Linked DNA regions of Oryzias latipes. The protein of the gene in region 2 purifies or fractionates together with the protein of the main gene of each other region. This does not show direct contact. Links are inferred from orthologs where the notes say so. Each region holds a gene or a part of one and is shown on either strand. Other genes may lie near its edges.

Region 1 (4,333 bases), on a different chromosome or scaffold from region 2:
TTCTTAAAGTTAAGTTTAGAGTATTTCTTTAAATATAAACTATATATTTTTCAAGCTCACCGTTTTTCAAATGTTCAATATTTATTTCACGTTTACAGCATACGTTGAGGAGTTTAAAACTATTTCCGAATTTATAATTTGGATTTTTCGTTCACTTTAAGCTGCTCTTGATTTGACATTTGGAAGAAAAAAAACATTTTTTTCTTTTAGTAAAGACTAAATGTTGCCTCTATGATAATGATTACTGTTTATATATGCATACAGAGGTATGAATATATATAATAGTATATACATATATATTTTCACGTACATAAATATATAAACGGTTAAAATAGATGATGTCAATCTTGTCTGAACAGAAGACAAAACGTATTTCTCCGTCAGTACATATGGAACAGGTACAATGGTTAACCAGCTTTATGTCACAATAACCTAAAACTTCAGCTGATAGGTCATTTTAGACACTATCTTCCCTCTGGTTCTTCAAAGGCTGTGGGACATGTGGTCAAATTTGAGTTATTGCTTGTTTACTTTGTAGTTTTTTGCATATTTTTTGTCTTTTTAATTTGTTATGTTGTGACATATCTTAGATAGTTTCGTTTTTTTCGTTCACTCTTTTGACGCCACTTTGTCGCTACCGTGTTCCCTGCAGTCACTTTTTCCACCCCAATATAGTATTTTCTCCCACTGTTTTTAATCAGAGGCACTCTGGAATTTCGTTTAATTTCAAAATGTGTGCAGCTTGCGACTAAAAACAGACGTTTGTCAAAAAGATGTCAGAAATTTCATATGAATCTCTGGAAACTAAGCTTAACTGTTAGTCTGTCTGCTTTGTAAATTTTTCCAGATTGCACATCGATGACCAAAATACAATATCTCCTATCTGCAAATTGTTAGATTTTGAGTTTTTAGCATTAAATGCTGAGAACAAGGACAAATTCACATTTTAAGTGAATCTGCAAAAAAGTCTTATGACCCGAAAGTCACAAGACAAAAACCTCACATCACCATCGGCTGGAATATTTGAAACACATTTTTCTTGTTTCCTGAAAAAAAAAGATAGGTTTCAGGTAGGAGCATTTGTACTTAGGCTCATAAATACAGATTCCTCTGAAAATACCACAAAAAAAGCCAAAAATAAGGATGCAAAGCCTCCCTGAGCATACCTGGTACTCATTGAAGTTGATGTCTCCAAACTGCCCTCTCTGCAGTCGGTTGACCAGATCCACCTGCTCGTCTGACAGCACAATGTCTCTTCCCGTCTGCTTGTCGTGAACTGTCCTCCTGCACGCACAACCAAAACCGTTAGCGTTTCCTGTTTGAAACTGTAGAGGACGCGGAAATGCGCTGGCTAGCTGACCAGTAGTCAGGATTTTCCATTTTATCCAAGAATTCGTCCAGCTCATCCTTGTTCCTGATTGGCTTGAAAATCTTCTTTCCATCTAGATCGTAGCCAATGTGAGGGAAGTCTTTGTACCATTCCATGGGAATGTTGCCCACTGTGTTCCTGATGTCCTGCAGAAGAATCAGAACCAGCACATGAGAACCTTTTAGAATCCAACAGAAGAGTTCAAGCAAGGAAACAGGACAGAGGTATTTAAAGAAAAAAGGTGGTTTGCAAAACAAATAAGGTAAAACACAAACATGCATATAGAATTATACAATAATAGACTGTGTAAAGTAAGGTAGGTCCAGATCAGAGGGCAAGTGACAAGAAAAAAACAGACAAACTTTGTTCTAAAATAACCAATAAAATAAAAAAGGGTGATCAAACATCTACATGCAAGAAGCTGAGGACGTACAGGAAATTACTAGAAAAATAAAAAGCGAATAAAAGTGACAATCCGAGGAGATCACTAAAGAATCCCAGATGCCGCTACTCCTACCTCCTCATCCGAGGTGTCATGCTCATACTCATCTCCTTTCTTCTCTTGTTTTCCTTCAGTTGCTCCTTTCTTGTTTTTGTTGTTCTTCACTTTTGTCTGCAAATGCGACAGATTTTCAGAAGAACCATAATAATATCCGGTCGCAGTAAGTCCACAGCAGCAAACCTCACCTGCTGCCTCTGTTTATCCGGATCATCATTTGATCCATCAGCTTCCTCCACATCATCGGAACTTTTCTCTTCAACGTCTGACTCTTCATCCTCAGAGTCGCTCCCGGAATCCTCCAGTCCAGAAAATTGACTGTCCTCACTGTCTGACAGGTCATCGTCGTCTTCATCTTTCTCAGTAGCTTTGTTGTTGATATCAAAAAGCTGAAGACAAACACACACAATCACTGTTTATGGTTCAATTCCCCATAGATGTTTGGCTAATATTAGCATCCTGATTCATTGTATGTAAAGAAATTCCAAATTCTATGATGCTCTCACTGAACTCTATTCAGAAAACATACATTTAAAAATAAATCATGCGGTTTTTATATTGTATTCCTATAAGTCTGTTTATAAACAAACTATATGATATTTTCACCGCTTAACAGTTCGGTTGGGAAAATTTGTTATCAGCAATGTCAACGTTTTTAAAAGCTCCAGCCTGTTTTGATTTTGCTTATTTATTAGCATGCTAGCCGCTAACAAGCAAGTCCTAGCTAATTCACAGAGTAATTTCCCGCTTTTTCCCTCTAACAGTTAGATTGCGTTTCTCACTTCATCTTGCTCTTCTTCCTCCACTTCCTTCGTCTTCCTCTTCGTTTTCTCCCTGACTTTCTTCATTTCTGATCTCTGTTCCATGCTCTGCACGTTTTCCAGCTCCTGCTTCGCGGACCCACGTGGAAAACCCGCGGGGTCAGAGGTTATGCTGGCCGAGAAAAACGAGAAGACACGAAGGCAGCCTCCGCCCCCTATCGGTCAGATGTCTTCACTGCACGTCCGGCTGAACAATAATATTGTTCGTTGCAACCAATGAGTTATATCACTAGAGGAGACACGCCCGCTTTAGAAGCCTGGCCGTCGGTGGCGGAGCGCGACGCCATCTTGGTGAGGTCGACGACGCCCACATGACATTGATTTCTATTGATTTTAGTGGTGTCTAAGTAGCTTTTATAAACTGTATATATTTTTAGATTTAAATATATTTATACATATATATATAAATATATTATATTTTATGTATATAATATATATATATATATATATATATATATATATATATATATATATATATATATATATATATATAGATACATCATTTGTTGATGTTAAAGAAGAGAAACAGTCAGCCTTAAAAGCTCAAACTTGAATGAAAATGCATTGTTGCAGGACTTCTTACAAATAAAAAAATCAATAGTAAGTCAATACAAACAATAAATAACAATAAATAAATAACAAGTCAATAAAGAATAATAAAAATAATTATATTATTATTATTATTACTATTATTATTATTATTAATAATAATAATAATAATAATAATAATAATAATAATAATAATAATAATAATAATAATAATAATAATAATAATAATATTCAAAATAATATAGACAATAGGACAATAGATTTACCCTAAAAAAACAGTCTGGCCTCTTATCAAAATCTGTTTCCACAAATGTTTTGAACAGTCAGACTGTATTACTAGTTGGTACCACAGTGATCCATCTGGGTTAACTCTTTTTATAGCTAAGTCCCACTTTTTCCTTCAGTCTGAATCCATTGGAATCCTGCAAGAAAAGTTCAGTCACTGAGTCAGAAATGTTTAAATCTATATTACTATAATAGCCTAGTATGCTGTATACAGGTTTAGCAAAATAAAATCTACATTTATATTGACAGCAAAATAAATGTACATCATGCAGCATGTTGATAACAGCCCTGCAGCATCATGCATGTCAACATACGTTCTATTAATGAAGCCCCTGCAGCCTTAAAATAAAAAAAAATAAAATACTTACCTGTGAAATGATACACCTACCTCCTTCATGGACTCATTTATCTGATTTTGGCAGTTGAAATCCGCACAATGAACTGGCATTATGCAAAAAATGTGTTCACATGCATGCACTGCAGCAGTGACTTGACCTCACCAAGATGGCGGTGCTCTCCTCCCATGAGGAACCACGTGATGTCTCCTCTAGTGATATAACTCAATGGTTGCAACTGCCTAGGAGTGAGAAAACACAGTTTCCATCCATCCATCCATCCATCCATCCATCCATCCATCCATCCATCCATCCATCCATCCATCCATCCATCCATCCATCCATCCATCCATCCATAGTATGGCAGCAATTAAATTTAGCCTCAGTAATTATTTATTAACTTTTTTTGTTTATACTTTAAAAAACTCAAAGTTTTAAATCATAACCACCAAATAAATTGTTTGATTAGGAAAAA
Region 2 (3,720 bases):
CAGGCACTGTTGTAGAGGACACACGGGCAGCGTGGACACCGTTTCCACAGACCCCACTGGCTCAAAGGTAAAACCCATTAAAGCCAGAAAATAAAGAAATAACAAGTCCCTGATTTTTGGTTGTCTCCTTTAGTTCTGCAGTGGCTCCTGGGATAAAATGCTAAAAATCTGGTCTGCAGGTAAGAAAAGAATCAAAAAATCAAGAATGTTGACACCAAAAAGCCTTAAGTCATCTGTAAGTTTTCCTCCCTGTTGCCAGTGCCCACAGATGAGGCAGATGAGGTAGAGGAGGCCGCAGACAGACCAAGGAAGAAACAGAAGACCCAGCAGCTCGGTCTGACCAGGGTGAGCTCCCAGCTGGAAGAGGAGAGGGAAAACGAATTAGATTTGTTACGTCCACTGGAGCGTCATTTTGATACTATCTTGACAGACGCCCCTCATGACGTTATCCGGACACAACGAAGCGGTGTCCTCCGTCTTGTGGAGTGATGCGGAGGAGGTCTGCAGTGCATCGTGGGATCACACCATACGAGTGTGGGACGTGGAGGCTGGAGCGATGAAGACCACGCTGGTGAGACAAATTCTTTTCCTGTTTTTTTTTTTAACTTTTCCTTAATTTAGCTTGACTTAAAAAAAAGTAACTGGTCATTTTTTTAAAATCTTTATTTTTTTATTGTAAACGATAAATGTTTGAAGATGCATCTTAATAATTGAAGGAAAAATCTGCTTTTCTCTACATCAAGCAAACAAAAGTTTCAATAAGAAGAACAAATACTCTCAAAACTTGCAAAATAATTTCATCCCACTCTAATCAGCTTTTGATTCTATTTTCAAAAGTGGGCTTTTAATTATGATTATGTTTAACGACATCGTTTCTGCAGGGCGGCAGCAGTTCGTGTAAAAAAAAAAATACATCTGAGTTGTGTGCAGGTGGTAAACAAAGACGTACAGAAATGTAATTTTAAGCTTAATTTTCTGTAAATATGTCCTCCATGGTGAGAAAAAGGCCACAGGAATGAGTGATAAAAACCAGTTTTCATCAGTGTGTGTGTCTGTAAAGAGGAACATTTTAAAAAATCCATATTTAAAGGGAAAATATTTACAGCACTAATACTAATCCGTAACCAAACACTTACACAGACAAGACAGAAAAATCTCCTTTTTAGCCACATTTGCACTGCTGCAGTCAAACCTTCTCTTCATAAATGTCAAAGTTTCTTATGGTCAAATAGATTTGCTGTATTTTATAGTTTCGAATTTGGCTTTTCAAAATAAAAGTATTAATAAGGACTGACTCTAGATGGCATCTCTTATTTATTCTTAAGTCTAAAGGGATTTCTTTTGTCAGCCTAGCATCAGGATTTAAAAACTAATCTGTGATCTCATTTTAAGGTATGCTGGTCGTATAGTATATAGCTTTAGTCAGTATTTGATCATCCGAACACTGTGGTTGCTGAAAAGCAGCATTCTAGCTGTAGATTTGGTGCGATGGACCGGTTTTAGAGAATAATCTGTCCTCCTGATCTTCAGAGGAACAAAACAAGCACCTCCCAGCTGGTATTTCTTCAGGATCTGCCATGTTTTGTCTCCTCAGACGGGCAGTAAAGTGTTCAACTGCATCTCCTACTCTCCTCTGTGTCGACGGCTCGCCTCTGGGAGCACAGACAGACACATCCGCCTCTGGGATCCACGGACCAAAGGTGCCGCTGTGCTGACATCAAAAATACACCCCAAAAATGATGTATTAACCTATTTCTGTTGTCACTTTTGTTTGTCAGATGGAGCTTTGGTGTTGCTGTCTCTAACGTCCCACACCGGCTGGGTCACTGCTGTCAAATGGGCTCCGACACACGAGCACCAGCTTGTCTCCGGTTCCCTTGACAACCTGGTCAAACTTTGGGACATCAGAAGGTCTGTGAAAATTGCTTTTCGCATATTTTGGCACTAGTTAAGGCATATTTTATTTATTTATTTTACAGATGCAAAATTACCCTCATTTGGTGCGTTTAGTGAAAATTTGTGCAGAAGCTCATTGAATTGACTGTGAATCATGTGAAGAAAGAACATGTCACCTACTGCCTGTTTGACCAAGCTTGTTACCATAGTTACGTGAATGCTTCGGATGGAAAAAAGAAAAAAAAATGTGCTTGTGTTTGTCAAAAATTCAGAGTCCAGAGGATTTATTGATGACTGTGATACAGATATTCTGTAATGGACAACAAAGGTTAAATAATTATCATCGTTCCATCTGTTTTCATGTTTTTCAGGATTTACTATCATAAAACTGGCTTATATATATTTTTGTTGGATCCAGAATTTCACTTCACCTCATATTAAAGTTCTTTGTAGCAATTTTTATACCAGATGAGGGACAAATAAAGTGTAATGCTAAAGTGCGAGCTCCACCTAATGGCCAAACGGAAACGCCCTGCAGGAAAGGCAGCACATTTATCTTTGTAATATGAGCCGGTTTAGAGCCTTTACAGTGTTAGTGATCTCCACATTTTTGTTGGAGCTTCTCTGTTTGAGAAACTATGAAACACTGCATGGTGTTAACAAGCTCATTGGTTTATTATCTCATTAAAACATTTTACATAATGTTAGCTTTATTAGATTAATATGACTATCTTCAAAACCAATAGAATACTTGTGTTTTTTATAAAAATGTCTCCAAATGTGTAAACCGTGTAAATTCCAAATTGATCCAATCAAGTGGACAATACAGAAACTTGATCCAGGCTCTGTTGAATTGAATCTATGCTGGAAACTATTGGTGATACCCAGCCCTATCACTCACGTTGTCTCTCTTTAGCTGTAAGGCTCCCTTGTATGACCTGGCGGCCCATGAGGACAAAGTGTTCTGTGTGGATTGGACGGAAAGTGGGGTGAGACAAATTCTTATGTACTCCAGACTCCCATGACAAGACTTCAGAGTTGACTTATCTTGACTCTGCTTTTTGTTTTTTAGCTAATGTTAAGCGGCGGGGCGGACAACAAGCTTTACAGTTACAAATACTCTCCGTGTCGAACAGACGCCGGAGCGTAGAAACCTCCCATCCCAACAGTGCCAACATGGAAGTACTGCAAAAAAATTATAGTTTACCTAATTTTTTTTCTCTCTCTGCCATTGTTATTTTTTTAGTCTTATCAGTTCTCTGACATATTTTTGTTTGTTTTTCTCCTGTATACAATAGAGTATAAATTAATTTTTGCTCAAGTGTTGTCTCTGGTGTGTCATTCAGGCAAACTTGTTCTTATGGATTTAAAAAATATATAAATATATATTTATACCATGGTCCGGGTGAATACTCGATTCGGATTGGCTGCTGGGTGTGGATTAAAAAGTGATAATTCACAGTGATGATGCACACCTAAAAATTTCCGGTCAAATAGCTTGTGGTGAAACCCAGCGTTGATCGATTGACCAAGACACACGTGTGCTCAGTTGGATTCAGGTCTGGGGTCCATTTCATCAATACTTTTGTCTAGCAGAAACTGCTGACACACTCCAGGCACATGAGGTCTAGCATTGAAAAGCCACCCCAAACCGTTACCGACCCACTGCCAAACTGGTCATGTTGGTTGATGCTGCTGGCAGCGGAACGTTCTCCACGGCGACTCCAGACTCTGTCACGTCTGTCACATGTGTTGAGTGTGAACCTGCTTATATCTGTGAAGAGCACAGGGCGCCAGTGGCTAATTTCCCAACCTTGATGTTCT
Region 3 (4,340 bases), on a different chromosome or scaffold from region 2:
GAAATTAATCACCTTTAATTAAAATGTTTTGGTTCCTAAATGACTTAGATGGTATTTAAAAGTAAATATAAAAAGATGATGTCAGACTTTGGAAACTATGTAAACAGCTTTACTAATTAACTGGGGACTTTCTGTGTTTAGTTAGAACATTGTTGATTTTGCTGTCACTGCTTATTGGTATATTCCTTATGAACCTCATTTCATCAATTTGACTTACATCATGGGAGAACTGATAGGGCACCAGCCATGTGATGAGCTGTCCCATCACCTCAGCCTGATAGTACATTCCCTTGATGGAGACGAAAACCTAACGGGAACAGAGTGGGTTGTATGTCAGAAAACACAGAACTGTAATTTTTTTCTGTGAAAGAGTTCAGTAAAGCTGCACCTTTCTGAGAGAGCGTGATGCAATCACATAGTTCATCCACTCCACAGTGAGGCGTCTGCAGAGCTGGATTGTTTGGACGTGACATTTTCCCGTTCTGGCAAATGTGGAGAAGAGGAAGCACATGCAAAGGGCGTCGTCGATATCACGGAGGGCATCGATGAAGGAGGGGTATCTACAACAGAAAGCAATTGACTTAGAGGTAGGTTTATCTGTCTTACATTTAAAAACTAGAAAAACACAGAACAATGGGTTCATTTAACAGAAAAATCTACTTATGCCCCACTTTTTAAGTCAGTCTCACCTCTCTTTAATGATGTGGTCCAATTTATAGGTTGGCTTGTTTTCTTTCAGTCTTTCAACTGCAGACCACTCCGTTTTTCCATAAGCCTTTCTCAGTTTCCGTACAAATATCTATTAAAACAAAGAACAAATTTTTAGGCTAACTTACACTTCGACTGTATAGTATCCAAAAAGATTATTACCAAAATAAATAAAGTTGTTTGATAATATATTAAAACCTTATATTGTTTACATTTTCCAGTCCTTAAATCCAAATCCATGTGTGAGCATGCACATTAAGTATGCACACTTAAGTCTATACTGCAGAGAAGGAATGGATCTCTTAAATCCTCACTTTTCATTGCAGGTAATGCAAAAAATGCAAAAACAAAAAGTTTTTTACATATTAAAGATCAACTACAAGTTATGCATTTCAAACTTAGTCACTTTTTGGTGATCATTTCTATTTTAACAAATTTTCTGCAATGTATTTTTGTATCAACAAGCTCTTTAATTCACACTTTGAAGAGAAAGGGAATCGACACTGTGCTCTCTCTATGCATGTAAGTAATAAAAAAATAATAAAAAACATTTACACATTTTGAAATACCTTGTATTCTCTGAACTTGGCAACTATGGGCTCATGCAGCAGAAAACGAATATCTTTAAGCAGATAAAAGGTCCTGGGGGCAGTGGAGCCCTTGTTGACCTTCTTCTTGTGCTTCGGCTCATGAGGATAGATGCCTTTAAGAATGCAGAGTCGTCTAAAACAAAAAGTAAAGCAAGTCATCAGAGATACAAAAAAATGACATGAGTGTGTATCGCAGTCTGACTAAATCTGATGGAAAATCATGTTGGCCACACACAATACGAGACGCACATTGCTGCACTGCCCGCACATATTTTAATTGCATTAAAGGCTAAAGGTTGTTGTTGGTCGCATGTTTTTTGTATAGCCCAATAATACAATAATAGTTGTCTTATTGGGCTAACATTAAATCAGTCATTAAATACAGTAGGTCATTGCTAAACTTAACTAAACAGACTAAGCTAAACTGGGCACCCCTGCCCTTAGACCCTACTTCTCGGTAAGCAAAACGTTATTAAAAATAGATAAATAAATAACAGATTCCGGGGGAAACAGTCTCCGCTGTGTCCACATGATGAAGAAGGGATCCTCTCCCAGGACAGACAGGTGATGTACCAGGACTGTTAAGGTAGAATTAACTTATCCAACTCTACAACTACATGTTTGAATAATGTAGCAAGTAATGTCAAGTATTTATATTTACTGAATGTCAAACTGTTAAATGTTTAAGGACAGTAAATAAATGTTTGCCAACATTTATGATTTGCAACGTTTTCATGTTCTTTTTTTTTTACACTGTAGTGTATACTTTAAGAAACTGCTCCAAATAGGTTAACCTTTATTATAACTATGCTTAACCACAAAGTTATGTGCAGACACAAAGGGGCTGGTACATTAATAACAATCTCTGAAAATTAAACCATAAAATCACACACTCCAGTTCAGTTGCAGTTCAAAAATAATTTAACAAATACCTCGTGTTAAAAAAAACATCCAAATCAGTGGTAAAAAAAAAAAAAAAAAAAAAGGTATTATTTACAAAAAAAAGAAAAAGAAAAAAACTTGAGCTGTGTGGTACCTGAAGTCTGGTAGGCTCAACTGTAGCTTCTTCCGAGCTCTATTTCGTGTAATGTAGTTGGTGGCAGAGCCCCTCTCAAACTGCAAAGAAAACGGTTTTAAAAATTTCCAGTAACAATTTCCGTAAACTGCATTAAATGTAATTTTGACTGTTCACATTCACGTGTAAACGTTTGCCCAACATAATGAACCACTTAGAACAAACTTAAGCTAGTTTAGCTAGCTACGTACGTAGCATGGAAACTGTTACTGAGTTCAAACAAAACGCCAGCATTTACCTTTTTCTTTTGAGTGCCGCCCATACTTAAGAAATTAGTTTATCTGAAATAAAGCCAAACAAACCGTTTTTAACTAAATATGTTGTCAGGTAGTTAAAATCTGAACACGACCACCATGTTTTGCTGTAAATGCACGTGTTGTTTGACATGCGCAAGAGAATCAGATTGGGTTTAGCGGACACGAGGACCCACAGTCGACCGCTCATCTGCCTGCTCGCAATAGTCTTATTAAGCTGCGGTAGATGAGCGAGCTACTAAAAAAAGCAATAACAAAAAAATAACATTAATAACAATGTTTGAATGCACTGTTTAGTTAAATGGTGGACTGCTGCATAAAACAATATTATCCTACAGGTTGTTATATATATCTATATCTATATATATATATAGATATAGATATAGATACAGACAGACAGACAGACAGACAGACAGACAGACAGACAGACAGACAGACATGTTGGCCCTTTTTCTTTCTTGATCCCCAACATTGTCACAAGCAAAGCATCCCACACCATCACACCTCCTCCTCCATGCTTTACAGTGGGAGCAGGCATGTAGAACCAAAAATCTCAAATTTGGACTCATCAGACCAAAGCACACATTTCCACTGGTCTAATGTCCGTTCCTTGTGTTCTTAAGCCTAAACAAGTTTCTTCTGCTTGTTGCCTTTCTTTAGCAGTGGTTTCCTAGCAGATATTCTACCATGAAGACCTGATTCACAAAGTCTCCTCTTAACAGTTGTTGTAGAGATGTGTCTGCTGCTAGAACTCTGTGTGCCATTGACCTGCTCTCTAATCTGAGCTGCTGTTAACCTGCCATTTCTGAGGCTGGTGACTCGGATGAACTCATCCTCTACAGCAGAGGTGACTCATGGTCTTCCTTTCCTGGGGCGCTCCACATGTAAGCCAGTTTCTTTGTAGCACTTGATGGTTTTTCTGACTGCACTTGGGGACACTTTCAAAGTTTTCCCAATTTTTCGGACTGACTGACCTTCATTTCTTAAAGTAATGATGGCCACTCATTTTTCTGTACTTAGCTGCTTTTTTCTAGCACTAAAACAAATTCAGTCTATTCAGTGGGACGAACAGCTGTGTATCCACCTGACTTCTGCACAACACAACTGATGGTCCCAACCCCATTTATAAGGCAAGAAATCACACTTTTTAAACCTGACAGGGCACACCTGTGAAGTGAAAAACATTTCAGGTAAACTACCTTTTGACGCTCATCAAGAGAATACCAAGAGTGTGCAAAGTAGTTATCAAATCAAAAGGTGGCTACTATGAAGAACCTAGAATATGACATATTTTCAGTTGTTTTACACTTTCTTGTTATGTATATAATTCCACATATGTTAATTCACAGTTTTGATGCCTTCAGTGTGAATCTACAATTTTCATAGTCATGAAAATAAAGAAAACTCTTTGAATGAGAAAGTGTGTCCAAACATTTGGTCTGTACTGTAAATCTAAGCCCCACCCCTTGTCTATTGGACCCCTCACATATGTCAGGGATGCTTCAGCAAAATGCAGACAAGAGCAGAGCAGCCTCAGACAGGGAGAAGAAGAAATGTTGTAACAAGATAAAGTTCTGTTGATAAAAAGACTCAAGCACTGATTTGGATATGAGTACAGCATTTCATAAAGTCATCATGGGGCTATATGACTTTTTAAAGGAGTGCTTCAGTGGTTTTTGGGACTACGAAACCCCCAAAGTGATGGTCGTGAAA

What was found.
Region 1: the proteins of wdr12 (region 2) and bop1 purify together in Homo sapiens (affinity purification with western blotting; 6 studies listed by BioGRID and IntAct, with this or other methods). This does not show direct contact. The link is inferred for Oryzias latipes from reciprocal best matches to the Homo sapiens genes WDR12 and BOP1.
Region 3: the proteins of wdr12 (region 2) and pes1 purify together in Homo sapiens (co-immunoprecipitation; 7 studies listed by BioGRID and IntAct, counting the BioPlex papers as one, with this or other methods). This does not show direct contact. The link is inferred for Oryzias latipes from reciprocal best matches to the Homo sapiens genes WDR12 and PES1.

What each region holds. Positions count from the first base shown.
Region 1 is NC_019869.2:4,823,153-4,827,485, forward strand, and holds the start of bop1 (ribosome biogenesis protein BOP1), read right to left. Parts: upstream 2,823-4,333; 5' UTR 2,735-2,822; coding exon 2,651-2,734; intron 2,258-2,650; coding exon 2,057-2,257; intron 1,983-2,056; coding exon 1,887-1,982; intron 1,516-1,886; coding exon 1,361-1,515; intron 1,285-1,360; coding exon 1,167-1,284; intron 1-1,166. UniProt on the Homo sapiens protein: Component of the PeBoW complex, which is required for maturation of 28S and 5.8S ribosomal RNAs and formation of the 60S ribosome.
Region 2 is NC_019860.2:15,361,514-15,365,233, reverse strand, and holds the end of wdr12 (ribosome biogenesis protein WDR12), read left to right. Parts: coding exon 1-67; intron 68-133; coding exon 134-179; intron 180-259; coding exon 260-345; intron 346-430; coding exon 431-571; intron 572-1,594; coding exon 1,595-1,700; intron 1,701-1,778; coding exon 1,779-1,911; intron 1,912-2,812; coding exon 2,813-2,885; intron 2,886-2,968; coding exon 2,969-3,046; 3' UTR 3,047-3,217; downstream 3,218-3,720.
Region 3 is NC_019867.2:13,302,650-13,306,989, reverse strand, and holds the start of pes1 (pescadillo homolog), read right to left. Parts: upstream 2,809-4,340; 5' UTR 2,636-2,808; coding exon 2,612-2,635; intron 2,415-2,611; coding exon 2,335-2,414; intron 1,432-2,334; coding exon 1,278-1,431; intron 800-1,277; coding exon 690-799; intron 561-689; coding exon 389-560; intron 308-388; coding exon 218-307; intron 1-217. Other genes in the region: p2rx2 (P2X purinoceptor 2), read left to right, coding at 4,236-4,340. UniProt on the Homo sapiens protein: Component of the PeBoW complex, which is required for maturation of 28S and 5.8S ribosomal RNAs and formation of the 60S ribosome.